4 linked regions of the Anolis sagrei genome follow. The protein of the gene in region 3 interacts with the protein of the main gene of each other region in a biochemical or structural test. Links are inferred from orthologs where the notes say so. Each region holds a gene or a part of one and is shown on either strand. Other genes may lie near its edges. The genes, in order: MAPKAPK3, MAPKAPK5, HSPB1 and CS.

Region 1 (7,697 bases), on a different chromosome or scaffold from region 3:
TGAATCCATAACTGTGTCTGGCATCTTGTTACATGTTCCGATATGCTACTGCTGACAGTTATCTTGAGTGCCAACTATGTACTGCTGCCATTACTTGTATATTCAACTGCACAGGGAATGCTTCAGTACCTTTACTGATCATACTTGATTCAATACAGATAAGCAGTGATCACGATGGACAACTGAACAGAAGCATCAGTTCCATACCAGTAGAATCAATTTAAGATCACAGGCCTAAAATCAGTTGCCATCTCAATGAGAATTTGGACTTCTGCAAAAATCCCATTGATGAATTTACTCTAATAGGGCCTGTTTATTGTTCATTCATTCAGTCGTTTCCGACTCTTTGTGACTTCATGGACCAAACTAATAGGGCCTAGGAATTGCATTTAATCCCAAAGAAACATGTTTTCTTAGAAAAGTTTCCTGTTTACAGTATTGCTACATGGTTCGTGGAGATGTGGCTTCAGAGCACTACACAAACTGAAAAAATGGGTTGAGGGCGGACAGGGAATATCTAATTCAGTGGTTCCCAACCTGTGGTCTGTGGACCACCAGTGGTCTGCAAGAACTAAAATATGGCCTGTAGCCTCACAGTTACTACAACACTGCAATGAGAGTGACTGGTCTCGTGAAACCCTCTTATAGTGCCGAGGTTTATTAAATATGGTTTTTTGTGGGCGAGCAGATGGCAACAACTGGATGGCATATGTTCTGTATCAGAAACTAGAGATGATGTGGTCTATCCAATGCAATTATCTGTATCAAACCAAACCAAATCTAAAGTTGACCAAAAACTGATTCATAACCTTTTGGTACTAATGCTGGAGAGCATCCCTGTTCAAAGTGGTCCCTAGTAAAAAAAAAAAAAAAAAAAAGGTTGGAAACCACTGATCTAATTACAATGAATGTCAGGAAAAAAATTCCTCAGTGGACGTTTGACCTCTATCTTCCATTTTAATTGGACTATATGTGGTTTGTTGTAAAAGATATGGCAAAGCTTGTGATTGTCAGAGTTTGCTGTGAGGTACACCAAAAGATAATGATGCTGGGGGAAATGGAAGGAAAAGGGAAGAGGGGCCAACCATGGGCAAGATGGATGGATATTATTCTTGAAGTGACTGGCTTGACTTTGAAGGAGCTGGGGGTGGTCATGGCCGACAAAGATCTCTGGTGTGGGCTGGCCCATGAGGTCACAAAGAGTCAGAAGCAACTGAATGGATAAACAACAACAACACACCAAAAGGGTCTTGCAAGCACGTAGCGATCCCCCTCTCCCCAACATGTACATCTGCCAGGTAGTGACAGGGCCCTGAAGTTGGAGGACATGAGACTTTTATGGCCATAATGACTCTCTTGGTGGAGATGAACCAGTACCAACATAGTGAAATATGCTTTAAAGACAAAACTCATTGTTAATGATCTAGGCAGGCAAAACAAGTGGCATGTTTGGTAAATTGCTTACTTCCTCCATAATGTACATAATTTGACAAGAGGTGTTGTCTTTAATTACACCTGCCCCGTCTGTGTCTCTTCTTTGTTTGGGGAGAGAAATGAGGATTGAGCTCTTTAAATTTTAGATGTGGGGATGGTGTAGGGGACAAAAAGCTCTGAACCAGATTTCTAAAGCTGTCCTTCAGCCTGCCTGTCTTGGCCAACACAAAACCTAGGAGACCTCTTCCATGCTTAGCTTCCATTGTCAGGTTCATAAGCTTCCATTGTCAGGTTCACATGGCTATGGGACCAAGCATTCAACCAGTAAATAGTGCAATAAGGATAACGGACTAATGAAACTGACAGTTGGTCAGGTCTTGAACTACGATCTGGATTATGTGATTTTAATCGATGCTTTAATAATTACTGTTTAATTGTATGGTTTTAATTGTATTTATTTTTCTATTTATTTGTATTGGCATTGCATCAATACCTGCTGTAAGGCTCCCCTGAGTCCCCTTCTAGGGTGAGAAGGGTGGGATACAAATATGTGAGATAAATAAATAAAATACAATTATGGGGCACTTTTGCTCTCTTTTGAGTTTTGAGTCTCTTTTTCCCAGGCAGGGGCAAACTTCGGCCCTCTGAGTGTTTTGGACTTCAACTCCCGAATTGTGGGAGTTGAAGTCCAAACACCCGGAGGGCCAAAGTTTGACCATGCCTGCTTTAGCCACTTTGAGTCTCATTGAGAAGAAGAAAACTGAAATATAAATATAATCAACACCATCATCACCATCTTGGACCAGTGATTCCCAACCTTTTCTTCCTCTAGATCAGGCATGGGCAAACGTTGGCCCTCCGGGTGTTTTGGACTTCAACTCCCAAAATTCTTAACAGCCAGTAGGCTGTTAGAAATTGTGAGAGTTGAAGTCCAAAACACCTGGAGGGCCAAAGTTTGCCCATGCCTGTTCTAGGTGTATTGGGCTTGGGCTCCCAGAATTCCCTACAGTGGGCCACATTGCCTGGGAGTTGAACGCCCAAAGGCTGGGGAGAATTCTGTGGAGGGAGGAGTGGCCCCTTGTTCTGGTTGGCAAAGAAAGCTCCATTGGCAGGAATAGGCGCTCCTTCAAGGAAGGGAACCATACCAGGGTCTGAAGGAAAAGCAAGCCAGTCTCTCCCACACGCCGGAGGCCCGGGGAGCCACTGGGTTTGTATGTGGGGCAGGGAAGGGCACCCTCGGGAACAGCTCCTGTGTGTGTGTGTTGAAGGGAGAACGCGCGGGTGGCTGGGTGGCCGTGTGTGCGGGGAGCCACTGCGCCGGCGACGCTTCGGGAAGGGCTGGTTACCTGCCTGCCTGCCTGCCTGCCTGGGGCGCATGCTCCTCCTGCTGCTGCTGCTGCTCACAGGTGGTCGCTGTGTTGCCGTGGCCTCCCTCAGTCCAGGGTCAAGCAAGGGAGGGGGCGGCGGCGGCGGCCATCAGAAGCCTCTCTCCTCCGCCAGGCAGCCGGCTCTTCGCGAACCGCCGAGGACAGGCTCCATCATGTGACTCCCCGCCCCGGACGGCCCAACCCCGGGCCAGGCAGAGGCGGGAGGGGGAGGGGCATGAGGGGGAGGGAGGGAGAGAGCATGAGGGAGGGAGGGAGCCCGGGCTCCGCAGGGACACCTGGCCGCCAAGGCGGAGGAGGCCGAGCCTCGCCTGCACTCCAAAGCTGGCTTCCAAGCTGCGGCGCCGGGAGGCAAACTCCCCAAAAGCGCGCGAAAAGAGACAGTCCTTAATCGGGGGGCTTGTGTAGTAATCACCATTCGGGGCCCAAACTGGATCATCCTCATCCTCATCCGCACAGCGAAACCCTGTTTGCCATGCCACAGTTTCAAACGGACTTCCCTAGCCAGTGTAGATGGGCACTGGCCTCACCTGCACTGCCATATAACGCACTACAGACCTACCTAATGCCGTTCAGTGCACCGTATGGAGGTATCGATGGGCCTCGTTTACCTAAGGCAGGAAGGAGGCACCTACGGGAAAGGAGATTCCACCTGAACATTAGGAAGAACTTCCTAACTGTGAGAGCTGTTCAGCAGTGGAACTCTCTGCCCCGAAGTGTGGTGGAGGCTCCTTCTATGGAGGCTTTTAAGCAGGGGCGGGATGGCCATCTGTTAGGGGTACTTTGAACGCGATTTTCCTGCTTCTTGGCAGGGGGTTGGACTGGACGGCCCACGAGGTCTCTTCCAACTCTATGATTCTGTGTCCTGAGCAGGGCTCGCAACCCCTTGAGCAGACATCCTCAAACTGCGGCCCTCCAGCTCCCAGAAGCCCTAGCCAGTCTGTTCAGTCGTCAGGAATTCTGGGAGTTGAAGGCCCAAACAGCTGGAGGGCTGCAGTTTGAGGGTGGCTGCCCTTTAGGGTTTTGGAGGGGGGTCGAAAGAAAAAAATATACCGGATCCACAACACGAGCCTATTCTCACCTACAATAACAGAGAACTAAAATGTGGCGCCAGCTCATCAACCCGTCTGGCGGGGAGAAGCCCTTGAAGAGAAGGGCACGGGTCTCTTTCTGGGAAGTTCCCTAAACCGTTCCGACAGAGGAGCACCTGCTTGGGGGCTCCCCTCTGAGTCCCCGCCTCCCCCTTTCCTTTCCTCGGAGGAACCAAGCGGCGGGGCCTCCCTTCACCTGCGCGGCTGCGCGCTCGCCCTCCTTTGTCTCCCTGAGGGCGGGGCCGGAGCCCTCGGGGGACAAAGGAGGGCGAGCGCGCGGCCGCGGAGGTGAACGGAGGCCCCGCCGCTTGGTTCCTCCGAGGCGAAGCTGACTCGCCTCCGCTCTGTCTGCCTTTCTCCTTGGGAGAGAGACGGTGCCAGGGCAGCCCCTGCTGGTGGGCCGAAGGAGGACGCGGCGGCGGCGGCGGCGGCACGAAAGGGGCAAGCTGGACCGGCCTTTCGGGTCGCCAGGCTGCGGGCGAGGGCGGCCTCTTCGCCTTCATGGCGCCCTCCTCTTCCTTCCCACAAGAGGAGGAGAAGGTCGGTCCAGCACGGCCCGCGTTGCCGCCCTTCTCCAGAGCTTGACGTCACGAGCCTGGCGCTTTTGCAACGCCCAGAGGCACCTTTCGTTTCCCCCCAAATGAAAGCCTTCAAACGATGCTGGGATGCTGCGTCCAGGACAACAAACCGTGCTCGATCCCAGAGTATTTTACTCCCTGTTGGTGTTTGATAAGCATAACAACAACACTATGAAACACGGTTTTTGTTCTTGAGTTATAAATGGTCGTTTCCTAATTGGTTCTGTCATAAAAACACGGGGAATGTTTATTAAACTGCAAAAATCTTTTGCTATCGTTTTGCAATGAGTATCTCATAGAGCAGTGGTTCCCAGCCTTGTTTTGACCAGGGACCACTTTGATCAAGGACCACTTTGACCAGGGACTACTTTGACCAAGGACTACTTGGCCAGGGACCACTTGGACCAGGGACCACTTTGACCAGGGACCACTTTGACCAGGGACCACTTGGACCAGGGACCACTTTGACTGGGGGCCACTTTGACCAGGGACCACTTTGACCAGGGACCACTTTGACTGGGGGCCACTTGACCAGGGACCACTTTGAGCAAGGACCACTTGACCAGGGAGCACTTTCACCCAGGACCACTTGACCAGGGATCACTTTGACCGGGGACCACTTGACCAGGGACCACTTTCACCAAGGACCACTTGACCGGGGACCACTTGACCAGAAACCACTTTCACCAAGGACCACTTGACCAGGGACCACTTGGACCAGGGACCACTTGACCAGGAACTGCTCTCCAACATTAGTACCAAAAGGGTTACGAATCTGTTTTTGGTCAACTTTAGATTTGGTTTGGTTATTTGGGGAGCTGAATCAGAAAACTACATTGGATAGACCACATCAGCTCTAATTTCTGATACAGAACATACGCCAACAGTCACCATCTGCTCACTTACAGAAAAACATATTTAATAACCTAGAGCCATGGACCTTATTTTAGGTCTCACGACTCACAGGTTGGGAACCAATGAGTCTCAACATAGTTTTTGGCAGAAGTTTCTGGAGTATAACAACTACTTTCTAAGTAAGTCCTGCGCAATTGAACAGGAGATAATGCTTTCAAAACAACACTTTTTTTCAAATTTTGTTACATAGTGTAATAATAAATAATAAGATCCTACTTGGATCTGCACACATTATTTATTTATTTATATATTTATTTACAGCATTTGTAGTCCGCCTTTCTCAGCCTTGCGGCGACTCAAGGCAGCTCACAGAATTAGCACATTTAATGCCATATATTCATAAAAATCCATTAAAAATATACAACACAACATTATAAAAAGCATATATAAACCATTTAAAAACATATGATCACCAATGTTGTCCTGTTAAAATCATTGTCCAGCAGCATAGTCTAGCCATTCCATGTTCATTCTTCTTATTTCAAAATTACTTATTCGCCGAAACATCACATAGTCCTAGTCACTTGGTCGAATACAAAAGCCAGCATAGTGATCTTGTTTGCTGTGTACTAATCTTGTTGTATATCTAATAATAATAATAATAATAATACTTTTATTTGCTATTTGCTCTCAAGACTGGAGGTGTGGTGCAGCAAAATCAAAATACATAGCTAAACCATAAGGCCATGGAAATATCTAGATTATGAGACAGATTTAATGACAGACATTCAAATCATATATATCAATAAAATCATGTATATCAATAAATGCAAATGTAACCGATCTATTGATAGCCATTTCAATTCCAAGTGATTCCAGAGGTCAGTTCTGAAGATCAGATGGAAGTGCTTGTTGTTTTTGCTAGGAAAGACAATCTATCCGAGAAATACAACACAGGCAAAAACACATTTTGGTGCCTCAACTATCAGCCTTGTTTCTGGGTCTATTTGACCTGCTGATTTTTAAAAAATGGCACCAGGGATTTTTAAAAACTGGCACCAGTTTCCCCCTATCAGCACTATTTTTGAGAAACAGAACATATGCCATGTACCAGTCTTCATCTGCTCATAGAAAATCATGATAACCATATCTTAAAAAAACTAGTGGTGTTGCAGTTTATTAAATGCAATTTTCTGAATCACATCCCTAAATAACCCCAGGATCAGACGTGAAAATCAAGACACCAAGAAGCTTTTGTTGTTGTTGGGCTATGCAATCAATTTCATTTGTTACTCAGGTCTCTTCATGGCTGGAGGCGGGATGCATTGCAGTCAAAACACATTGATAAAACAAGGTATTAAAATACTTATATTAAAAGACAGAGAGATTTGATGATATGCATTACAATCATTGTTTATATCAATTAAATGTAAAGGTAATTGATCCCTTGATAGCTGTTTCAATCCTGGGTGATTCTGGAGTGAATTTCTGATGGAGGCTATGTTTGCTTTGTGGTTTGTTTGGTTTTTTACTGAGAAATACAGACTCTATCCCAGAAATATAATCTAACAATCTTTGCTAACTCTCCCTGCACCTCCCACCCAGCATTATAGAAGAAGAATGGAGTTATAAGGAATTTCACCTGGGGCATTGCAGAGAGATCAGTTTGGAATCCAGTAGCTGAAGCTTTTAGGAAATTACTTGAAAAACTGAGGATGAGGGTTAAAAATAGTGACAAAGAACAAATGTCAGCAATATGTACATACATATATATACACACACACACACCCTGCATACATGTAACTGACCACTGGACAAATGAACGTATGCTACTTAGATAGCTAAGGAACTTGCAGGTTTGAAGTAATTAATTCCACTGTGTAAATCAATTGATCCAGCCAGTAATTCATCTTAAAAGCTGCTATTACAAAATATCCAGGGAGGATTTTCCATAACTCAAAAGTTAATGTTGATACGGTCAATGGACTAATCAATAAACCTTGCTTATGCATAACTCAAAAGGTGGAGACCACTTTCAGCCCCGTGGGTGTAATTCAATTTTAGAGAAATTATGATGTATTGCTACTAAACGGCCCCAGCCCAAATTACCTGTCTGAACGCATCTCTCCCTTTGAACCATCGCGGAGATTAAGATCCTCCAGGAAGGCCCTGCGTTCTGTCCTACCATTGTCACAGGCATGATTGGTGGGGATGAGAGACAGGGTCTTCTTGGTGATTGCTCCCCAGCTATGGAACTCCTTTCTTGGTGAGATCAGGTCAGCCCCCTCTCTCCTGTTCTTTAGAAGGATGGTAAAAATTTGGCTTTTGGGACCAAGCTTTCGGGACAGGGCAAT
Region 2 (7,409 bases), on a different chromosome or scaffold from region 3:
TGCTTATTGTCCAAACGACTCAGTTCTGTTTGCATCTTAATACAGGGGCCAGTGGAGTAATCATTTGAGGGCTGGGTCTATACAAGATTGGGGTTCAAAGCCCAGTTGCGGAAACCCTTGGGCCACTCACTCTTTTAGCCACAGAGGATGCCAAGTACAAGCTCCCTTGCCAAGAAAACCTGTTGATGGAGCCGCCATAAATCAAAATGACATAAAGGTGGGGGTATTCCTGCTTTACATTTTGGCTTGGAACTTGAACCCAGGAAGCATCTCCAAGAGGAGACAGTGAGTCTTAAAGTGAGTCTGGAACCCTTTTGTAGAGTTCAGAGGCTTCACCATGATTGGCAGTACTAATATTACAACTTTGGGGTGTTTTGTTGAGCACAAACATTTTGCTCTTTGGCACGGGTTTAAGGAGCTTTGGCCTGCAAATGCCAAGTCAGTTAGAAATCAAGCTGCAACAGGCCCACAGCGAGGCGAGGCTGCTTCAGCTTAGCTGCAGGATGCCTTCCAACAAGGTTGCCTTTGGAGCTACCAAACACGATTTTTAGGACCACAAGCCATCGAGAAAGCTGCTAGTCTTGCCCAAGCTGGCCTCTGTTTTGTATCTAGTTCAAGAGGGGGAAAGTGGCCACCATCCGAATGTGGCTGAAATGAATCTACACTGTGGAATGGATGAGGTCTGACCCCGCTTGAACTGCCAAGGCTCAACGCTATGGAATCATAGGAGGGGCAAGGTCTCTGGCATTCTCTGCCCCACCAAAGGCACCCATAGCCTTGAGCCAGGGCAGTTCATGCGGGGTCAAACAGCACCCATCCCACAGCACAGGCACCTCCTGAGGATTCCGAGGTCCCTTCCCTTTTTTTGCTGCTCTGGAGACCAGGACTCAACAGAGCCATGGGTTCAAATGACAGCAAAGGAGATCCCACCTGAACCTCAGAGCTGTTCAACAGTGGAATGGATTGCCTTGTAGACCCCATTTACACTGCCATATAAAATCCAGATTATCTGATTGAACTGGATTATATGGCAGTGGAGATCCAGCCATAGTCTCTAGAGGCTTTTCAACAGAGGTTGCATGGCCCTCTGTTGGGAGGGTTTTGATTGTGCCCTGTCTGGCAGAAGGGGGCTCGACCAAGTGGCCTTGTGGGAGTCCCTTCCAACTCTAGAATTCTGTTCTCATCATCTTTTTTAGTAATGATGATGAAGGGGTCTGTGATTTTAACCTACGGAGAGTTTGATTTTAGCAAAGGCTGAAGGGTCATATGTTGGGAAGGCTCTGATTGTGTCTTCCTGCCTGGCCGAAGAGGGGTTGCACTGGATGGCCCCTGGAATTCCAACTAGAATTCTATAATAACAATAACAACGTTTGCGGATGATAATGGGGGTCTCTTTCTCTGGGGGGTTTTGAGCAGAGGCTGTATGGCTGTCTGTCAGGAGGGTGTGGATGATGCCCTCCTTTGTGGCAGAAGGGGTTGGGCTGGATGGCCCTTGGGGTCTCCTCCAGATATAGGTTTCTATGCTGCTATGATTATGATTATCATTATTATCCCTGAAACGGTTTATTACTCAGGCCATTGGTTGTTGTTGTTTGTTTTATATTATTTTATGAGGTTGTTTTATGTATTTTAATGTCTTATACTTTAACTATGTTGATTGGGATTGTCTCCATGTAAGCCATCCGAGTCCCTTCTGGGAGATGGAGGGGGGATACAGAAATAAAGTGATTATTATTATCATTATTATGATGAAGCAGAGGCTGTCTGGTTGTCTGCCGGAGGGGGGAGGACTTGGATGGTGCGGTCCTTTGTGGGAGTTCAGCTGGATGGCCTTTGGAGTCTCCCCCAGATATAGGATTTATGTTGGTAGGATTATTATTATTATCATTATTATGGTGAAGCAGAGGCTGTCTGGTTGTCTGCTGGGGGAGCTTGGATGGTGCCCTCCTTTGTGGCAGAAAGGGTTGGGCTGGATGGCTCTAGGGGTCCCACCAGCTATAGGATTCTATGCTGCTAGGATTGTTATCATTATTATGATGAAGCAGAGGCTGCTTGGCTATCTGCCAAGGGGGCTTAGGTGGTGCCCTCCTTTGTGGCAGAAGGGGTTGGGTTGGATGGCCCTTGGGGACTCCGCCAGATATAGGATTCTATGCTGCTAGGATTATTATCATTATTATGATGAAGCAGAGGCTGTCTGGCTATCTGCCAAGGGGGCTTGGATGGTGTCCTCCTTTGTGGCAGAGGGGGTTGGGCTGGATGGCCCTTGGGGTCTCCTCCAGATATAGGATTCTATGCTGCTAGGATTATTATCATTATTATGATGAAGCAGAGGCTGTCTGGCTATCTGCCAAGGGGGCTTGGATGGTGTCCTCCTTTGTGGCAGAAGGGGTTGGGCTGGATGGCCCTTGGGGTCTCCTGGTGATCGAGGACCCCCCAATGGCAGACTTTGCCCAACTCCACACCCGAGGGGAGGGGGCGTGGCGAAGGCTGGCCTTGGTATGCTCAGAGGCGCTCTTGCTAGGGAGCTTGCTCACCTTAATCATCCTCTCCGCCTCGGGCTCCTCCGACATCCTCTTCCTCCTGGGCTGCTTCAGGCCGGGCGAGGCCGGGGCCGCCTTCCGAGGTGGCTGTGGTCCTCGCCGCTGTTCCCTCTCCCTCCTCCTCCTCCTCCTCCTCCGCCTCCTCCTCGGCCCTGGCCCCCGCCTCCTTGGGGCTGCCGAGGCCTCATCCCCGCCGGGCTCCTGCTCCCTCCTCCGCCTCGCCTTTCCCGGCCGAACTCTCCTCCCGCCCGAGGAGCATCACCGGCGCAGCAAAGAAGAATGAAGTCCCCCAAAAGGCAGGCGACTGAAGTAGACGCCCCTTTCGCCGCGCGACGCCCGCAGTGCCAGGCCCCCTCCCTAATCTCCCTCCCCTTTCCTTCGGGTCCTTCCTGTCCGCGCGTCGCTTCCTTGAGGGCGTCACGCGGCGGCCGAGAAGGGTTATCTGAGGGGAGGACGAAAGGGGCGGGGCGGGGCGTGGAGGAAGGGGAGAAGGAGGCGGGGCTTTCCCGACTACGCCCCGCCTCTTTTGCTTGGAGGGAGATTCTTTATTTTATTCTCTCCCCTCCCTTTGGAAATCTCGCGAGATCGGGAGCCCGCCTTCTTTCTGAGGAGAACGCCGTGAAGCGCCTGTCGTGGCAGAAGGGGAGCGGACATTCGACGCCGGGAGACGAGGTGGAGGAGACGTGGCCCGAAAGATAGACAATCTACTAATATATAGACATCATCATCATCATCATATAATTTTATTTGTCTCCCGCTTTTCGCCCAGAGCGGGGCCCAAAGCAGCTCACAATATTTTAAAACCATACGAATCAACAATACATACAACAATAACCTATAAAACCAACTTTAATAACATTGTAATGTAAGAATACTCCTGTATTATATATAATATTAATAATGTTTTAATACATTATATGTATTACAACTTCTGATATAGTACAATATATTGTACTAATAGTATAATAAGAGTGGTAGTGTATTATATATTGTGGTATAATAATATAGTACAATATAATATATAATAATCATATAATATATTACATGTAATATTACTAATTTGGGGAGCAGGGTGAGCTCCCGCTGTCAGCCCCAGCTTCTGCCAACCTAGCAGTTTGAAAACATGCAAATGTGAGTAGATCAATAAGTACTGCTTCTGCGGGAAGATAATGGCACTCCATGCAGTCATGCTGGCCTCATGACATAGGAGGTGTCTATGGGACAATGCTGGCTCTTTGGCCTAGAAAGAGAGATGAGCACCACCCCCTCGAGTCAAACACGACGACTTAATATCAAGGGAAACCTTTATCTTTAATATTACTAATAATGTTGCAATATAGTGGTAGTTAAAGCATAATTAAAGCAATGATATTTCCGATAGTAACCTATGGATGTGAGAGCTGGACCATAAGGAAGTCTAAGCAAAGGAAGATAGATGCTTTTGAACTGAGATGTTGGAGGAAAGTTCTGAGAGTGCCTTGGACCACGAGAAGATCCAACCAGTATGGACTTTATTTCCATACTTCAGGAAATAAAGCCCAACTGCTCATTGGAGGGAAGGATATTAGTGATAAAGATGAAGTACTTTGGCCACACCATGAGAAGACAGGAAAGCTTAGAGAAGACAATGATTCTGTGGAAAATGGAAGGAAAAAGGAAGAGGAGCCACCCAAGGACAAGATGGATGGATGGTATCCTTGAAGTGACTGGCTTGACTCTGAAGGAGCTGGGGGTGGTGATGGCCGACAGGGAGCTCTGGTCCATGAGGTCACAAAGAATCGGAAGCAACTGAACGAATAAACAACAACATAGTGGTATCATACAATATAGCACTATATAATACTAATATTGTAGAAAGCAGAATGGAATCTATTGCCTAGATCGAGGGAAGTCATGGTGTCCTTGTATTCTGCTTTGGTTAGATCTCTTTCCCTGGAATACTGTGTCCAATTGTGGGCACCACGGTTCAAAAGGTATATTGACCCTAAGCTAGAAGGCATCCAGAGGAAGAGGGCAACTAAAAGGATCAAAGGTCTGGAGACCATGAATAATCCCTATGAGGAGTGTCTTGAAGAACCAGGTCTGTTTAGCTTGCAGAAGAGAGGTTTGAGAGAAGACATGAGAGCCAAGTATAAATATGTGAAAGGTCATAAGGAAGAGGTATCAGGCCTGCTTTCTGCTGCTCTTGAAACTAGGACTCTGAGCAATGGCTTCAAACAACAGGAAAGGCGATTCCACCTGACTATTAGAACTATTAGAACTTCCTGACCATACGAGCTTTTCAACAGTGGAACTCTGCCTCGGAGTCCGGTGGAAACTTCTTCCTTGGAAACTTTTAAACAGAGGCTGGATGACCATCTGTCAGGGATGCTTTGAATGTGCTTTTCCTGCATAGAACGGGGTTGGCCCATGTGGTCTCTTCCAACTCTATTATTCTATGATAGACACAGAGTTCCAAATCCCATTTTCTCCCATGCAAGCTAATAGTTCTACTGAAGAGAACTCAGCTATAGCAAAGCAATTGATGAACGAACAGAATATTATTTGCTAACACAGAAATTTGGAACCGCTCAGACAACCATTATGTCAGGCTACACAGAGAAGCCTTTGAAATCCACAAGCATGTGGACAATTTCAACAAAAAGGAGGAGACCATGAAAATGTACAAAATCTGGTTGCCAGTATTTAAAAATACCAGAATTAAGACAGTAAATAAAGAACGCCACTTAGAAAACAGGGGAACTCCAGAAAGCAAACAATCAAGTGCCAGCCAACACTTCCCAAACAAAGGATGCCTCCAGGCAACAACACTGATTGACTTTGCAGCTGTAAGGCTACTCAATGCTAATCAAGCTTGCCAACTGCAGCATTCACACTTGCTTCAAACAGAGAAGGGTTCTTTCCCCGACCCTGGACAGTACACACACATATATACACCCCACTTGCTTCATTCCCACAGACCTTTGAACAAACCTCTGAAGATGCCAGGCACAAATGCAGGCAAAACATCATGAAAGTGCTACTGGAACATGGCCATACAGCCTGAAAAATGCACAGCAACACAGAAAGGGAAAGTGCTTCTGGAGCTCTTTGAGGGACGTCATCTCTTATTTAATGGCCATGGGTGAATGCTGTGGTCAGGCATCAGTGTTCTTTAGCAGAGAAAGCTCAAAGCCTTGTAGATTCCATAGCATTGAAGCAAGGCAATTAAAGTGGATTCATTCTATATCAGGCATCCTCAAACTGTGGCCCTCCGGCTGTTTGGGCCTCCAACTCCCAGAAGTCCTAACGATCTTGTTCAGTTGTCAGGAATTCTGGGAGTTGAAGGCCCAAACAGCTGGAGGGCCACAGTTTGAGGATGCCTGTTCTATAGCATAGGTGCACCCCAAGGTTTTCTTTTCCATCGCTGGAAGCTTTGGTCTTCTAATACATTTCTTTTTAAAGAAGAAATTCTAAGCAGGCATCAACTAATGACATTACATTCACCAGCCAATACTTTTTTTGGTTTCAGGGTTTTGAAAATTGAGCTGTGAGTTAGATTCGATGGCACATCAGACCCAAATATGGTACATCAAATAAGCCTTTTTCTTCAGAAATGGATGTGAGGTGGAAGACAAAATGCAGGCCGCCTGCTTTGCCTCTGTGGATCTGTGTAGAAGTCCCTCTCGGTCTTTCATTGTGATACTTGCTTGAGGGAGAACAATCTCTTTCTTTTTACAACTTGCTCCCAGACTGTGCCAAGCTCTGCCGACTGCAGCAGACTTAGTTGGTATATTTGCCAAAACCTTTCCCTGTGTCCACCAAAGGCAGTCCGTAAAGAGCTGGAAGAGACCACATTATCCATCTAGTCCAACCCTCTGCCATGCAGGACAAGCACAATCAAAGTATCCCTGTCAGATGGCCATCCAGCCTCTGTTTAAAAGTTTCCAAGAAAGGAGCTTCCAGCAGACTCCGAGGCAGAGAGTTCCACTGCTGAATAGCTCTTACAGTTAGGAAGTTCTTCCTAATGTTCAGGTGGAATCTCCTGTAATTTGAATCCTCTGTATGCCAAAAAGACATACTGCTAATACTTATGTCCCTCATTTGAAGACTGGGGGAATATGTTGCAGAAGAAATACAATTACGGTTGAATCAGAGTTACAAATTCCCCCTTAAATGAAAATGTTCTGTCTCGTGTGTGGAAGCACAGAGGGGGAAAACCTGACAGAAATGTTTCTCTTGTCACCCTTCTCTGGAATCTTTAATCCTGCTAAGAATGCATACTTTTTTTGGAAAGAGTTTCCAAAACAAGAAAGATGTTTTGGGTCTATGTGCTTTTGAGGGACATGTTGCATGAAATGAGTGACTGCAAACCGGTATAGAGTGGCAAGCACCTGTTCAAGTATCCCAGGTTAGGTGTTACGCCTGTGGAGTAATGTCATTTTTTGCTCATTACCTATTCCAAACAAACCCTTTTTTTGTTAAAAAGCTCACATTTCTCCAAAAGCAGCGTTGGTTTGTGATGTATAACTTTTTAGCTTTGCCTGACTGGTTACTAAAGCAACCTAAAGCAGACCAAGATACCCCTGTTATACATTAATGATGCTATTTCAACTACATAACAACACAAAATTCTTGGTGTCTTGGTTTTCAGGCCTAGTCCCAGGGTTCTTTGGGGCCCTGATTCAGAAAATGACATCGGCTCTAGTTTCTTAGTTACCATGGTTTTCTAAGGACAAACATGAAGACTGCTAGATGACACATATTCTGTCCCTCAAAAACTAGAACTGATGGGGGGAAACTGGTGCAAGCAATTGTCACAGATAACAGGGCTAACATTGAAGGTACCAAAAGATGTGTTGGCCAGTGTTGTTAACAATAATTTATTGT
Region 3 (7,247 bases):
AAGAAGGAAGGGAAGTAAGAGAGGAAGGAACGATGGACAGAGGAAAAGAAGGAAGGAAGGGATGGAAGAAGGAGAGGGGAGGGACAGAAGAAGGAAGGAAAGACCAAGAGGGAGGGAGAGCACAGCAGTTGAGGATGCTTGCCATAGATGCAGGCGAAACGTCAGGAGAAATGCCTCTAGAACATGGCCATATAGCCCGAAAAAACCCACAAGAACTGAGTTTCCTCCCTATTTCCCTATTTGGAGAAAATATAACAAAAGGTGCCATTTTCCATCTGGCCACAGGATGGCGACAAAGTGGACTCAGCAGGAGCCCTCTACTGCTAGGCTGCACTAAAAGGGTGCAATTCCCGAGTTGGCCACTGGATGGCAGCAAAGAGACATGCCATTAAGGCATTGCAGGGCTCAGGATGGGCCTCCTTCTGCACTGTCTGGGGATGATGGGACCTGTTGTTGTTTCAACTCCCCAGGTAAAAGGATCAAAGGAAACGGGTCCCTCCATTGGGAAGGAACTGACCAGAAACCCGCCCAGCAACTTACGTGTATTTCCTGGTGAAACACCTGGAAATAAATCCATGCTCATCTTGTCGTTCTTCGTGTTTTCCTGAAAGAGACGGAAGGAGAGAACGTAAACAAACCCCACATTTGGACACAGACCTATTCTTACATTTTATTATTGGCTTATTACATATTATTTTAATATATATTATTTTATAATATAACATTATATTATTATATATTTTTATATTATTGTTGCTTTAGTTTATTGTTGTTATATTGTGACTGTATTAATGCAATCGCAATCGTATAAAGCAATTATAATGTAAAGTAACAATAATTTATAATACTACAAAATAAAATAATATAAAACATAGTAAAAACAGGATGCAAATAAATCTATACTAGTATTACTATTAAACATAATTTATCAATCAATCAATCAAAACCTAATGTTTGAAAAGACCCCAAAGACTACCCTATCTATCTATCTATCTATCTATCTATCTATCTATCTATCCATCCATCCATCCATCCATCCATCCCAGCATTGGAAGAGACCCTAAGGGCCATCCCATCCAATTCCCTGTATGTATGTATGTGTCAGTTTGCCTCTCTCATAGATAGATAAATAGACATAGATAGATAGATAGATAGATAGATAGATAGATAGACAGAGGGATGGATGGATGGATGGACGGATGGACGGACAGATAGACAGATAGAGGGATAAACAGATAGATGAATGGATGGATGGATAGATGGATAGACGGACAGACAGACAGACAGACAGATAGATAGATAGATGGATGGATGGAGGGATAGACAGACAGATAGATAGAGGGATGGGTGAGTAGGTAGATAGGATGATAGATACATAAGAAGATAGATGGGAAGATATACACATACAAGTAGTTGGACTCTAGTTGGATTCTATGATAGATGGATGGCTAGATAGATAGATAGATAGATAGATGTATACGTACATACAGAGGGTTGGATAGATAGGTTAGTAGCTAGGTGGATGGATAGAAAGATATCTAGATGCAGAAGGTTGGACTGGATGGCCCTTGGAGTCTCTTCCAACGTCACGATTTTATGATGGATGGGTGGATGGATAGACAGATAAATAGATAAGTGGCAGGTGGGTCAGTGGGTACGTAGGTAGGTGGATGGATGGATGGATGGATGGATGGCTAGATAGATGGATGAATGGATGGATGGATAGAGGGATAGACAGAGGGATAGATAAAGTGGTTGGGTGGGTCAGTGGGTAGGTAGATAGATAAGTAGATAGATAGGATGATAGATACATGCGAAGATACAAACATACACATACAAAGTTGGACTGGATGGCCCTTGGGGTTCCTTCCAACTAGGATTCTTTGATTGATTGATAGATAGATAGATAGATAGATAGATAGATAGATAGATAGATAGATGGTGGATGGATTGATGTATTGATGGATCAATGGATCAATGGATCAATAGATAGACCAATAGATAGATAGAGCGATGGATGGATGGATGGATGGATGGATGGATGAATGGATGGATGGATAGATAGAGATAGATAGATAGATAGATAGATAGATGGTGGATGGATTGATGTATTGATGGATCAATGGATCAATGGATCAATAGATAGACCAATAGATAGATAGAGCGATGGATGGATGGATGGATGGATGGATGGATGGATGGATGGATGGATGAATGGATGGATGGATAGATAGAGATAGATAGATAGATAGATAGATAGATAGATAGAGGGATAGAGGGATAGAGGGATAGAGGGATAGAGGGATGGGTGGGTAGGTAGATAGGGTGATAGATACATGGGAAGATAGATAGATGGGAAGATATACACATACAGGTAGTTGGACTGGATGACCCTTGAAGTCCCTTCCAACTTCAGGATTCTAAGATGGATGGATGGGAAGATCGGCACATATACATACATACAGAAGGTTGGACTGGGGGGCCCTTGGCTCCCCTTCTAACTCTAGGACTCCCTGACCCACCAGCCCCCTATTCAATCACTGCCTTGGCCGAGGGTGGGGCTGGATGCCCTCCTGGGCCCCTTTCCTTCCATCCTTACCGGTGATCTCCACCACGCCGTCCTTGGTCTTGACCAGGAGCTCCTCAGGGGCGAAGTGGTTGACGTCGAGGGCCACCTTCCACCCTTCGGGGGTCTGCCGGATCTCGGAGACGCCGCTGCTGAGCTGCCGGCTGAGGGCCCGGCTGTAGGCCGGATGGGCCCCCGGAGGGCCAGCGCTGGCCGGAGTGGCCGGCTCGGGGCTCTGGATCATGGGGCGGACGTAGCCCGGCCATCCGCTGCTGCTGCCGGCGGGCCACCTATACCAGTCATCGGGGACCATGGGCATCCCGAAGGCCTGGTCGAAGAGGCGGCCGCCTCGGTACCAGTCCCGGAAGGGCTCCCAGCTGGGGCTGCGGAGGAAGGTGAAGGGCACCTGGCGCTCCGACATGGCCAACGCTCCTTTGTCCGGCCGGGCCAGCTGGCCCTTCTCATCCAGAGGCAAAGGGCTATTTTGGGAGAAGAATGTCTCCTTGTCTATTAATGGAAATGGCGCTCCCAGGAATGGAGCGGGAGGGAAAGGCCTTTTTTGGACTGCGGGACGGGCCCTGGCATACGGAGCGGGAACGGGGACCCCGAGGGCCATCTAGTCCAGCCCCATCCTGAAAAGATGGACATTGCAGGACCATTGCATACAACAAAGCGCTCTGAAAAGATGGACGTTGTGGGATCATTGCATACAATGGGAAGAGACCACCAAATCCTTCCCAAAAGATGGCCATTGTTGGGACCATTGCTTAGAATTACAGAGCTGGAAGGGTCCCCCAAGGGTCATCCAGTCCACCCCCATTATGCTCCCCTAAAAGACGACCATTGCATACAATGAGAAGAGACCACTAAAGCCTTCCCAAAAGATGGCCAATGTGCAACCACTGCATACAATGGGAAGAGACCACCAAATCCTTCCCAAAAGATGGCCATTGTGCAGCCACTGCATACAATGAGAAGAGACCACCAAATCCTTCCCAAAAGATGGCCAATGTGCAGCCACTGCATACAATGAGAGGAGACCACCAAATCCTTCCCAAAAGATGGCCATTGTGCAGCCACTGCATACAATGAGAGGAGACCACCAAATCCTTCCCAAAAGATGGCCATTGTTGGGACCATTGCATAGAATTCCAGAGCTGGAAGGGACTCCCAAGGGTCATCCAGTCCAGCCCGATTCAGCTCTACACCTAAAGCACTCTCAAAAGATGGCCATTGTGGGACCATTGCATACAATGAGAAGAGACCACGAAAGCACTCCCAAACGATGGCCACTGTGCATAGCATTACAGAGCTGAAGGGACCCTGAGGGTCATCTAGCCCAGCCTGTTTCAGCCCTACAACTAAAGCACTCCCGAAAGATGTCCATTGTGGGACCATTGCATAGAATTACATCTCTGGAAGGGGCCCCCAAGGGTCATCCAGTCCAGCCCCATTCAGCTCTACACCTAAAGTACTCCCGAAGGATGGTCATTGTGGGATCATTGCATACAATGAGAAGAGACCACTAAAGCCTTCCAAAAGATGACCACCATTGGACCATTGCATGGGATTCCAGAGCTGGAAGGGACCCTTGAGGGTCATGTAGTCCAGCCCCATTCCGCTAGGCAGGAAGAGACCACCAAATCCCACCAATTGTTGGGACCGTTGCATAGAATTATAGAGCTGGAGGGAACCCCTGAGGGTCATCTAGTCCAGCCTCAAAATGCCTACACCTAAAGCACTCCCAAAGATGGCCATTGTGGAGACCATTGCATAGAATTACATATTTGGAAGGGACCCCCAAGGGTCATCCAGTCCAGCCCCATTATGCTCTACACCTAAAGCACTCTTGGCGTTGGGACCATTGCATACAATGAGAAGAGACCAAAAGATGGCCACTGTTGGACTATTGCATAGGATTCCAAAGCTGGAAGGGACCCTCGAGGGGCATGTAGTCCAGCCCCATTCAGCCAGGCAGGAAGAGACCACCAAATCCCTCCCATTGTTGGAACCATTGCATAGAATTACATATCTGGAAGGGATCCCCAAGGGTCATCTAGTCCCACCTCATTCCCAAAGATGGCCATTGTGGGGACAATTGCATAGAATTACAGATCTGGAAGGGACCCCAAGGGTCATCCAGTCCAGCCCCATTATGCTCTAAGTACTCTTGAAATATGGTCATTATGGGACCATTGCATACAATGTGAAGAGACCACTAAAGCCCTCCCAAAAGATGGCCACTGTGGGACCACTGCATAGGATTACAGACCTGGAGGGGACCCCTGAGGGTCATCCAATCCAGCCTCATTCTGCCGAAGAAGAAGAGACCACCAGATCCCTCCCACTGTTGGAACCATTGCATAGAATTCCAGAGCTGGAAGGGACCCTCGAGGGTCATCCAGTCCAGCCCCATTCCGCCAGGCAGGAAGAGACCACCAAATCCCTCCCATTGTTGGAACTATTGCAGAGAATTCCAGAGCTGGAAGGGACCCCCGGGAGTCATCTAGTCCAGTCTCATTATACTCTACACCTAAAGCACCCCTGAAAGATGGCCATCGTGGGACCATTGTATACAAATGAGACCACCAAATCTCTCCCATTGCTGGGACCATTGCATAGAATTACAAAGCTGGAAGGGTTCCCTGAGGGTCATCCAGTCCACCCCTATTCTGCCGGGCAAGAAGAGACCACCAAATCCCTCCCATTGTTGGAACTATTGCAGAGAATTACAGAGCTGGAAGGGACCCCCGGGAGTCATCTAGTCCAGTCTCATTATGCTCTACACCTAAATCATTCCTGAAAGATGGCCATCGTGGGACTATTGTATACAAATGAGAAGAGACCACCAAATCTCTCCCATTGTTGGGACCATTGCAGAGAATTACAGAAATGGAAGGGACCCCCGAGGGTTATCTAGTCCAGCCCCATTCCGCCAGGCAGGAAGAGACCACCAAATCCCACCCATTGTTGGGACCATTGCATAGAATTATGGAGCTGGAAGGGTTCCCTGAGGATCATCCAGTCCAGCCCCATTCTGCCCTATACTTAAAGCACTCCCGAAAGATGCCCCCCCAACCTCTGTTGAAGGACAGCCTAAGAGACTCCCATGAGCTCGCCCAAATGTCAGTCCAGAGCAGACCAGTTCACCTCCAAGGATTGAAAGACCTTTTGGGAGGTGCCAAGCAGAACGTGGCACAGACCGAGCGAGGGGAAAGAGGAGGAGAGAGCGGGGCACCAGAGGGACTATCCTTGGTGTTTTTGGGAAGCGGAGAGCGGGATCTCTCTTGCTCCGGCCGTGAGTCACTGTCCGCCAAAGGGACCGGCTGCCTCTTCTCTGAGGTCATCATCCTTCTGAAGGTCCAGGCTCTGCGGGAACATTCTTGGCCGGGACTCTAATTTTCCTTCAAAAAAGCAAGACTGAGATGGATTAGAAGGGACCCCAAAGGCCATCCAGTCTATCCTTTGTAGCTATGTGTACTTTCCGACCTGTCAGTCATGGGACATTCGATCCAACCGCCCTGTTTTCAAACGTAGTGACAGAGTGTCTCACCAAAAACAGAGGACACGGCCCCGACAAAGATCCCATTACAATCGATCGATCTTGTATATTTTATTATAATTGAATCAGCTCATGGGAATCTACAACTGAAGTCGCGGCCGGAAGAAAGGAGAGAGAAATAAAAGAAGGAGAGATAGATAGATAGAGAGAGAGAGAACGTTGTTGTTGTTCCGACTGGCTATCATTTGCAGAGACGGCGACGAATAAACAAATGCTCGGAAGACTGAAAGAAATGTCCCTGATGGGAGAGGCCCCCAAAGGCCATCCAGTCCAACCCCCTTCTACCACAAACGACACCGTTTGATCCCTCCGGACAGATGGCCATCCAGCCTCTGCTTAAAAACCTCCAAGAATTGAGACTGTCCTCATATTCCGGTGCCATTCAAATCCATGGCTCCATTTGTCCTCATATTCCGGTGCCATTCGAATCAATGGCTCCACTGTATCCTCGTCTACAGAGTATCTGGACACTCAATCCTTACTGATGCAGCCTAGAATTGCATTGGCCCTTTTCGCTAGGTATATTATTATCGTCAAGCTATAGCTATATTGGTTTGTTGTGTGTTTTCTGGGCTGCATGGCCATGTTCCAGAAGCATTCTCTCCTGATGTTTCTCCTGCATCTTGTGAGGTCTATGGCTCATCTATGGCAGGCATCCTCAGAGGTTGTGAGGACCTCACAACCTCTGAGGATGCCTGTCACAGATGCAGGTGAAACATCAGGAGAGAATTCTTCTGGAACTAGGCCATACAGCCCTGAAAACACACAACAAACCAGTGATTCTGGCCATGAAAGCCTTTGACAATATTACTTTCCTCCATTTAGACTCCGATGGATGCAGCCTGGAATTGCATGGACCTTCTGAGCTGCTGCATCCCAATCTTGGCTCGTCTTCAGTCATATATCTCAAGCCATGGCTATATTACTTTCCTCCATTTGGACACTAGACCCCGACAGATGCAGCCTTTCAAGCTGCTACATCCCACTCGTGGCTCGTTTTGAAGCCTTGCAGGAACAGGACGCTTTTGGGCATCCAACGTTGCTTCGGATCTTCTCACCCGACTGGTGAAAGCTTTCCCCGAATCCCACAAAGTTCTCCAAAGTCACTTGAGACTGTAC
Region 4 (7,955 bases), on a different chromosome or scaffold from region 3:
GAAATGGGGAAAAGCAAATAAGCTAGAAATAAACGCTTTTGGTACCCGGCATTTGCAATCGATATGTTAAGGAACTTTCATGGGTCTGGAGTCCAAATAAAATTGTCATGAGGCCCTTTGCCCTATGGAGAGGTCATGGGCAGATTTCCCAGCAAGATAGCAGCAAAGTGGCTGCTGAATAATCAGCAGGAGGCAGACAGAGAGCCATTCACAAAGCACAAGGGCCTAAACGGAAACAGGAGAATCTCCATTTTAGTGAACATGCTTCCCACTACTGCTGCTACTTGCTGCAGGGTATGGGGTGGGTGGAGTTAAATGTCTCTGACACATTCCCCAATTTCGATACTGCCAGTCTGCAGTTACGAGAACAAGAACAATAAGGAAGCAGAAGCTATTTTACAAGCAAGTCAGACAACACGGCAACATCCTTGGAGGCCCACTTTACCCCACAGTGTGTCATCGCCCTGGGATACAGGCCAGTCAAGAGCAATTGATTTGCACAGATTTTGTGTCTCGAGATATTTTTATGACCACTTCCAGCAGAAGCAACTTGCCGTTTTTCAAGTTCCTCCTGACACACATAGTAACAAGCCTAATGTGATGGAATACTCCATTCCCACTCCAAACTATGGAGCAAGCAGCACAGGCTGAACAATGGGTGTATTTTATTGTAGAGCTATATATTCATATCGTATACAGTTTTAACTGCCTGATTGTTTGTTCACGATGTTTGACTCATCGATTCATATTATCAGACAACGTATTTTATTTTGTTTTAACTGTAGGTATAAACGTATTAATGTTGATTTGATGGCATTGAATATTTGCCAGTTTTATGTTTGGAAGCTGTCCTGAGTCCCTTTGGAGAGAGAGGGTGGGTTAAAAATAAATTATTATTATTATTACACTGTCAAATCAATGCAGTTTGACAGCACTTTTACTTCCACTGTTCAATGTTATAGAACCACTGGAGTTGTAGTTTTACTAAGTCCTTTATCTTCTCCTCCAAAGAGTTGTGGTCTCTCGCGAAACTACAACTCCTATGATTCCACAGAACTCAGTCATGGTAGTGAACATAGTGTCAATCTGCATTATTTCTACAATGTAGATGCAGCCAAAGCCTCTTCCCAGCTCTGTAGCAAGGAAAGACAGGTCATCCTACTATAGCACCCTACTACGAAGGCACCATACCGCTTCCTCAAGACACCAGGCTGGGTAGTAAGAGAAGGGACTGGAAAGGAAAACAAAAGGGAAGCAAAGGGGCATACAATGTCCCACCGACTGTTTCCACTAAGGCAAGAGTTTAGCTGATTCAATCAGAGGCTAAAAAAAGGAACCAGATACCCAGGATGCACCTTTCCCTAAATACCAAACTTGTCTCTATATTATATGTAAACTGACCCTCCCAGAGAAAGACAGGGCCTTCCCATTTAGAGGTCAAAAGGAAAAAAGGTCAGTGTGGCCCTGCTAAGGCCTAGCTACCACAGGAACCCCAAACTTCCTAAAACACCACAAAACAGGGTCCTGGTTGCACTGGGTGGCAGAGCAGCACACACCCTCGCTTCTGAAGTTTGACTATTGCCCCAGCTCCCAACCCCTCCTTTCAGCATTAAAAAAAACTTAGGCTGCATCTACATTGTAAAATTAATGCAGATTGGCACTACTTTAACTGCCACGGTTTACAAAGTTTTTAGCCTTCCTTGTCAAAGAGTGGTGGGGCCTTAACAAACTATAATTCCCAGGATTCTACATTCTTGAGCCATGACAGTCAAGGGGCCCTATAACACAGCCATATAACCCTAAATATGAAGGCAGAAAACCCCACAATATCTGCTTTGAACTGGGTTATCTGAATCCACACTGCCATATATTCCAGTTCAAAACAGACAATGTGGGATTTTATTAAGTTCCTAAGGGAATTAATGCAGTTTGAGATTTACTTGGGCCCTGACAAACAGGCCCTACATCAGTGGTTCTCAATCTGTGTGCCCCCAGATGTTTCGGCCTACAACTCCCAGAAGTCCCAGCCAGTTGACCAGCTGTTAGGATTTCTGGGAGTTGAAGGCCAAAACATCTGGGGACCCACAGGTTGAGAACCACTGCCCTATATATATCCTAGAATCTGATCCCAGGTTTTCTGCATTAAACTGGATTATATGAATACCCACTGGGCTATACAGAAAACCTGAGATCAGATCGTGGGATATAGGGCCTGTTTGAAAGGGCCCAAGGTGATCTCAAACTGCGTTAATTCTGCAGTATAGATACACCCTTTGCAACTGTTCCTCTTTCCGCAGAATTTTACTTGGGAAAGAACAGGCAGAGGAGGATTAGAAAAGGCAATTGAAACGATTCTAGAAGAAGAAAAATAGGAGGCACAAGACAGGCCCGGCCCAAGGACAAGGCCGTGTTCACACGTACAATACACATGTACCCGCCTGGCTCGGCCCAACCACTGCATAGAGCTCCTCCTGCCAAATGAGAAGCTGCGCCCAAAGCTACACAATCCTATGCAAGGCACAACCTTAATAATAATAAATAAATGAACATAATAATAAACTCCGCCACACTATCAGGCTCCCATAAAAACCCACTTGAGGCGCCCACCCCTTTAAGATAACATGAGCCGAAACCCTCTAATGGGCGCGGCCCCTTTAAGAGCGGCCTGTTCCATTCTCTTCTAAGAAAGGAAATCGAGGGGGGGCGGACAAGGAAAAGACCAATATTGGGGGAAAGGTGGGGCACCCTCACCTTGGCTCCCAAGAGGCGCGCGGCCGCCCTACTGCTTGCAGTCAACAAGGTCATGGCGAGCGGCGACTGGCGCGGAAGGAGAGTCCAGCGGCCGCCTCAAGAGAGAGGGGGAAGGAAGGAAGGAAAGAGGGAGGAAGGAAGCAGGCTGCGAAGACCAAGGTTGAACAGAGCAGGAGGGGGAGGGGGAGAACAGAGCAGACGGCGCCGGATACACTCCTCGCAGCGTCGGCAGCGCGAGGCGGAGCGCGCCTCCAAGGCCCCAATCACTCCCAGAGCCGCTCGGGTTCATCTGAATAGCCCCGCCCCTTCCCCTGACGGAAGAGGGGCCACGCCATTGGGCGCGGTGGCGCGAGGGGCGGGGCCAGGCGGGAACTGGAAGGGCGGGGTCCCTAAAGGCGCGCGGGGGGGGGGGGAGTTAGGCGTCTAATTCAGGTGCCTGAAAGCCCCGCTTCACTCCAAGGGTCGCCCACATGCCATCGCTGGATTCTGGGAGTGACACTCCGAGAAGGCTTTTTTCCTCCTCTTTTAATAGCAATTCTAGTATTGTTAAAGCTTATGATGACTAAAATGTGTAGAGTTGTTAGCTCAGGACTAATAGTGAAACGCTATCCTTCCAAATAAAAGCCCTTGGGGAATCCTTGTGGTCCAGTCCTGTTCCCAAGTAAATAACTGAGTTGAATGAAACCTCTTTAGAATTCAGAAATAGGATTTCGGGTCTAAGTGCCTGAAAAACATCTCTGTGAATTTGTATATAGAAAAGTCAACGTATATTTGGGTTTCTGTGAGTTTTCCGAGCTGTATGGCTATGTTCCAGAAGCATTCTGCCCTGACGTTTCGCCCACATTTATGGAGGTTGAGGGGGGGGGGTCTGTTGGAAACAAGGCAAATGGGGTTTATATATATGTGGAAGAAAGAAATCTTGCCTGCTTGAGGCAGGTGTGAATGTTGCAATTGGCTACCTGGAGTAGTATTGAATGGCCTTGCAGCTCCAAAGCCTGATCTGTTGCTGCCTGGGGAATCCTTTGTTGGGAAGTGTTAGTTGATTGTTTCTTGTCTGGAATCAGGGCCAGCTAACACCTTCCAACAAAGGATTCCCCCAGGCAGGAAGCAGCCTGGCTTTGAAGCTGCAGGGCCATTCAGTGCGAATCAAGATGGCCAATTGCAACATTCACACTTACTTCAAGCAGACACGAGTCACACCCTAGACATTCCACAAATATATACACCCCACTTGTGTAGTTTCCAACAGATCTCACAACCTCTGAGAATGCCTGCCATAGATGTGGGTGAACTCACAGCAACCCAGTGATTCCAGCCATTAAAGCCTTGAATAACACTTTGTCTTGTCTGTTTGTCACACAAAAGCGGTTGCTAGGTGAAGTGGCCCTCTGATGTCATTGGGATAGAAAGATGGGAGTTTTTGAGGGGAATGAAGGAAGGAAAGAAAGAGCCATGTTACAATGGAGACATTGTGAGGCAGGCTGGAGAAAGGAGAGAGAAAAGGAATAGAAGGAAAGAAAGAAAAATACAGGAAAGAAGAAGGGGAAGAAAAAGGGAAGAAATTGAAAGGAAAGGGAAAAGGTATCAGGCGAGAGAAAGGACAAAGGAGAAAGCAGGATAGCAGCCACCCCTCCAACACCTGATCAATGCCAGTATATACGCTAGTAATACTTTCCTCTGTATTACTAGTGTACATTCACTGTGATTTTGTATGTTGCATGGAGAAACAAGACTTTAAAATGCTCAGACTTGAACAGTCTCAGAGGTATGTTTTGTACTATTAGTCACATCAATATGCTGCATCCCACAGAATTGTTCTAGCAATCCTTTGACCCATTTACCACACTGAAATGAGTGATTACAGGGAAGCCTACTCTAGTAGGAGTGATAGCTCAGCAAATTGTTTTAGTAGTGGAGAAGGGCTGTGGAGGTATTACTGGAAAGGAAGAGTACAATAATGCCCTGGCATATCTGCAATGTCGCACAGAAGGTACACAGAAAGTTAGCTCCACTTCATACAAAGCTGCTGGAACTGCCCCTTGCTTAGCCTGCAGGTTAATCATTTCATGCAAAACACCCGAAACACTCAAGAGCTGTGTATGGCATGCAACCTGCCCCGAATCCTGTAGGTATGTAGCTCTCTGAAGAATATAATCCCATTGTCAGTTCTGAAGTAAGAAAATGGGCCCCTCCATTCTGCTCTACTTCAAGTGGACATTACATTCTTTCTTTCCTCATGGCAGCAAAAGTCTTGAGACTGGGCTACTTTATAAAAGGGAATACAAAACATACCTATTAGCACTGCTCTAGCTTGGAACAGCACTGAGGGCACTATGTTAATGTTGACATAATGCTGGATCCTCCCCACCCCCACCCCTTGCTCGGCATAGCAGAAATAAAAATGTCAATAAGAGTGACAACACAAAATTTACTAAACAATGAACAATATTCTATGAGCTGGACAGGCAGTGTCACACTATTGAACTCTGTCTTCTGCCATTTGGGCCGGTGCCTTCCCATGCGGCATTCCCTGCCAATCCTCAAACACATATCCTGCTGGTAGTCTGTGTCCCGATGGCCCTCATGCCGCGAATGTGTGACAAGAGTACAGAGTCCTCAACCTGAACCAGAACCAGGTCACTCTAGCAGCATTCCTTGTCCAAATGGCATTTTCATTCACTCTTTGTCTCATTTGAGGCAGTTATAGAAACACGTTTTTTTTTTCTGTATGGAAGACAAGTGTTTTTGTTTTTATACACTTTCTATACTTGGTGGAGTGGGGTGGGAGGGGTAGTCATCCCATTTCAGCTTCAGTCTTAAAGAGAAAGCAAATAACTACTTCAAAAGTAATATTTTACTTCTCTAACAAAGTGGCAGCTATAATTTAATTCAGTTCTCATCCCTGTCAGCATATCCGAAAGTGAAGAAGTTATGAAGTTGCAATGCAAACATCTGGAAGGTTGCAGTTAATCAATCTTACCCTGAAAGTTTATTTTTCTTCCAAGGTATGTTATCCACAGCTTCAATGCACATCAAGTGTGATTCTGAGAGTAGAGGTGAAATTCCTGAACATGGAAAGAAGCTGCCCTCAGGTTATCCTGGTCCTTGGCTATTTATAGCCTTACATCCAGACCAGCATTTTGAATTGGGCTCAGGAGTAGACATGTGACTCCGAAGCTGCTGAAACAATAGTGAGATCACATGAGTAGAATATTTAACACAAAACAGTATCCTGACTGGTGCATTCTGAACCAATGGAAGTTTCCAAAGATTTTGGAAACTTTTAAAGAGCAATTTAGTCTTCTACAGCAATGAATTATCCCCACAATATAGGATCTCCTCCACCTTTCTTCAGATTTTTATTTTATGAGTCTTCCAATTGTGTCTCAATAGGTCACTTTTAGGAATATGCCCAAAAAAAATCACTTTTTCTTGCTACCAAACCTGCCCTACCATCCATTCACTATCGGCTTTTTCCATTAGCTTTCTTATTTACTCCAAAAGCAGCAGTCCTGAAGCATTTTGAGAGCTAACATTTAAAAGAACACTGTTTCAATTATTGTTAAGGAAATGAGCATATTCAGAAGAGGAGGGATGCTTGTAGCAACACAGTAGTTATACAAATGTATTAAATGTTGTGCTTAGGTTTCTTATTAATAAGTAATTTGCAATCATGATTTGTTCTAATCTTCCTTCACAACCTACATTAAAAAGAAACCAGATATGTTACACTATTCCATGAGCAAAATAGTAAGGCATAACATGCTTAGGTAGCAAGAGTTGTAATCCAAGGCTTAGGAGAAGGGAAAATAAGGTGGAGGAAGCAGAGAGTGCCAGGCTGTACCAGGCACTTAATGATAAATAGGTGAGAAAAGGGAATTTAACCACATTTGTTTTTCTGCCTCCAAACATTTTAAGTCCTAAGGCTCCCAGCTATGGATCAATCAGGCCCTTCTACACTCAAAGATACATGTTTTCTGAATCTAAACACCACCACGCCCATAATGGAAGAAAGCAGTAAGAAAATCCAGCTCTGCAAGGTACTTGAAAACCTCTCTCGTTACATGGTAATATGCTGCATTTATGTATTGCATTTTGAGTATCCAAAATGCACCCCATCCATTATCTTAATAATTTTTACAACTCCAGGTGAATCACACCATGATTTATTTTCTTGCCATCACTGACAGACTTTTAATCCAAAATTCTGAAAATAAGAGGAAAAGATATCAAATGTTTTAAAAGCCCTTTGAAGAATATAATCTGACCCACCTTTCCCTAATTTTCCAAATGCTTGATGCTTCAAACCAGCACCTTCTTGAATTCTATAAGATGGACATTGGACTTCCCCAAAGGTCAGCCCATTGATTCAAAAGGAACCCAACAAAACAGTTTCAGACTGGCTTGCAATCTAGCCTAGCTGGTTCATATGAGGTTCCCATATCACAGTGAACAATTCCTGAAGGCCACTGCAATATTGTATGAAGACTTTCCACACAACATATCCAAGAAGTAACGCAATCTATCTATTGCTCCAACAATGTCAAATAGTTACTGGACAACAACTTTTTGGGCCTCCACATGGCTAGTCAACCTTTTCACTCTTATGCCATTGATTGATCTTCTTTACAGCAGCTCCTTGTTTGGAATGAATACGTGGGGGCCTTCTTCTATTATACTCTTCCTATGCAAGAGGTTACATAGAGAAATGAAATCACCTGCCTAGTGTCATGATTAAATAGTAGCAGAATAATAGTAGAACTAATAATATTCAATAATTCAAGTTTTAGTGAACTTTGGAGGGAATCCATGTATTGTGTGGCTAGTTCCAGACTCAACATACAGATTAATTCATCTGCAGAACGACAATAGCATTTTTTAAAAAAAACATACGTGTCACAGAATCATTGTCAATGCAGTAGAAAAAAATGAACCGCAGTCCTGAAATGGAAGTTTCTTCTGTTCCAAATGAGAGGTTTTATAATTGCAGACTTTTACAAAAAGTCAAGTGGGGACACAGCATCTTTTGTTTTCCTAAAGAAAGTCTACAAAGAAGCTTTGCTCATGTTTTCTTTTGCCTGTCCAGTCGTTGGGTTTCCAGACCGAATGTAGCGAGCACATCCCAAAATGGAAAGGAGGTTTTTGGAACAGACTTAAAGGAGCTGGAAAAGGGGAGGTGGTCTTCAAAGAACGAATAAACCCAT

The links.
Region 1: of the proteins of HSPB1 (region 3) and MAPKAPK3, one has a biochemical effect on the other in vitro, tested with the Homo sapiens proteins (2 studies listed by BioGRID and IntAct). The link is inferred for Anolis sagrei from reciprocal best matches to the Homo sapiens genes HSPB1 and MAPKAPK3.
Region 2: of the proteins of HSPB1 (region 3) and MAPKAPK5, one has a biochemical effect on the other in vitro, tested with the Homo sapiens proteins (4 studies listed by BioGRID and IntAct). The link is inferred for Anolis sagrei from reciprocal best matches to the Homo sapiens genes HSPB1 and MAPKAPK5.
Region 4: the proteins of HSPB1 (region 3) and CS form a complex in vitro, tested with the Homo sapiens proteins (2 studies listed by BioGRID). The link is inferred for Anolis sagrei from reciprocal best matches to the Homo sapiens genes HSPB1 and CS.

Annotation. Positions count from the first base shown.
Region 1 is NC_090022.1:71,480,687-71,488,383, forward strand, and holds the start of MAPKAPK3 (MAP kinase-activated protein kinase 3), read right to left. Parts: upstream 3,003-7,697; 5' UTR 2,789-3,002; exon of another isoform or gene 2,781-2,788; intron 1-2,780. UniProt on the Homo sapiens protein: Stress-activated serine/threonine-protein kinase involved in cytokines production, endocytosis, cell migration, chromatin remodeling and transcriptional regulation.
Region 2 is NC_090034.1:30,717,451-30,724,859, forward strand, and holds the start of MAPKAPK5 (MAP kinase-activated protein kinase 5), read right to left. Parts: upstream 3,003-7,409; 5' UTR 2,571-3,002; coding exon 2,535-2,570; intron 1-2,534. UniProt on the Homo sapiens protein: Tumor suppressor serine/threonine-protein kinase involved in mTORC1 signaling and post-transcriptional regulation. Phosphorylates FOXO3, ERK3/MAPK6, ERK4/MAPK4, HSP27/HSPB1, p53/TP53 and RHEB.
Region 3 is NC_090031.1:32,940,594-32,947,840, forward strand, and holds the start of HSPB1 (heat shock protein beta-1), read right to left. Parts: upstream 3,013-7,247; 5' UTR 2,988-3,012; coding exon 2,600-2,987; intron 605-2,599; coding exon 541-604; intron 1-540. UniProt on the Homo sapiens protein: Small heat shock protein which functions as a molecular chaperone probably maintaining denatured proteins in a folding-competent state. Plays a role in stress resistance and actin organization.
Region 4 is NC_090022.1:138,358,026-138,365,980, reverse strand, and holds the start of CS (citrate synthase, mitochondrial), read right to left. Parts: upstream 3,017-7,955; 5' UTR 2,806-3,016; coding exon 2,752-2,805; intron 1-2,751. UniProt on the Homo sapiens protein: Key enzyme of the Krebs tricarboxylic acid cycle which catalyzes the synthesis of citrate from acetyl coenzyme A and oxaloacetate.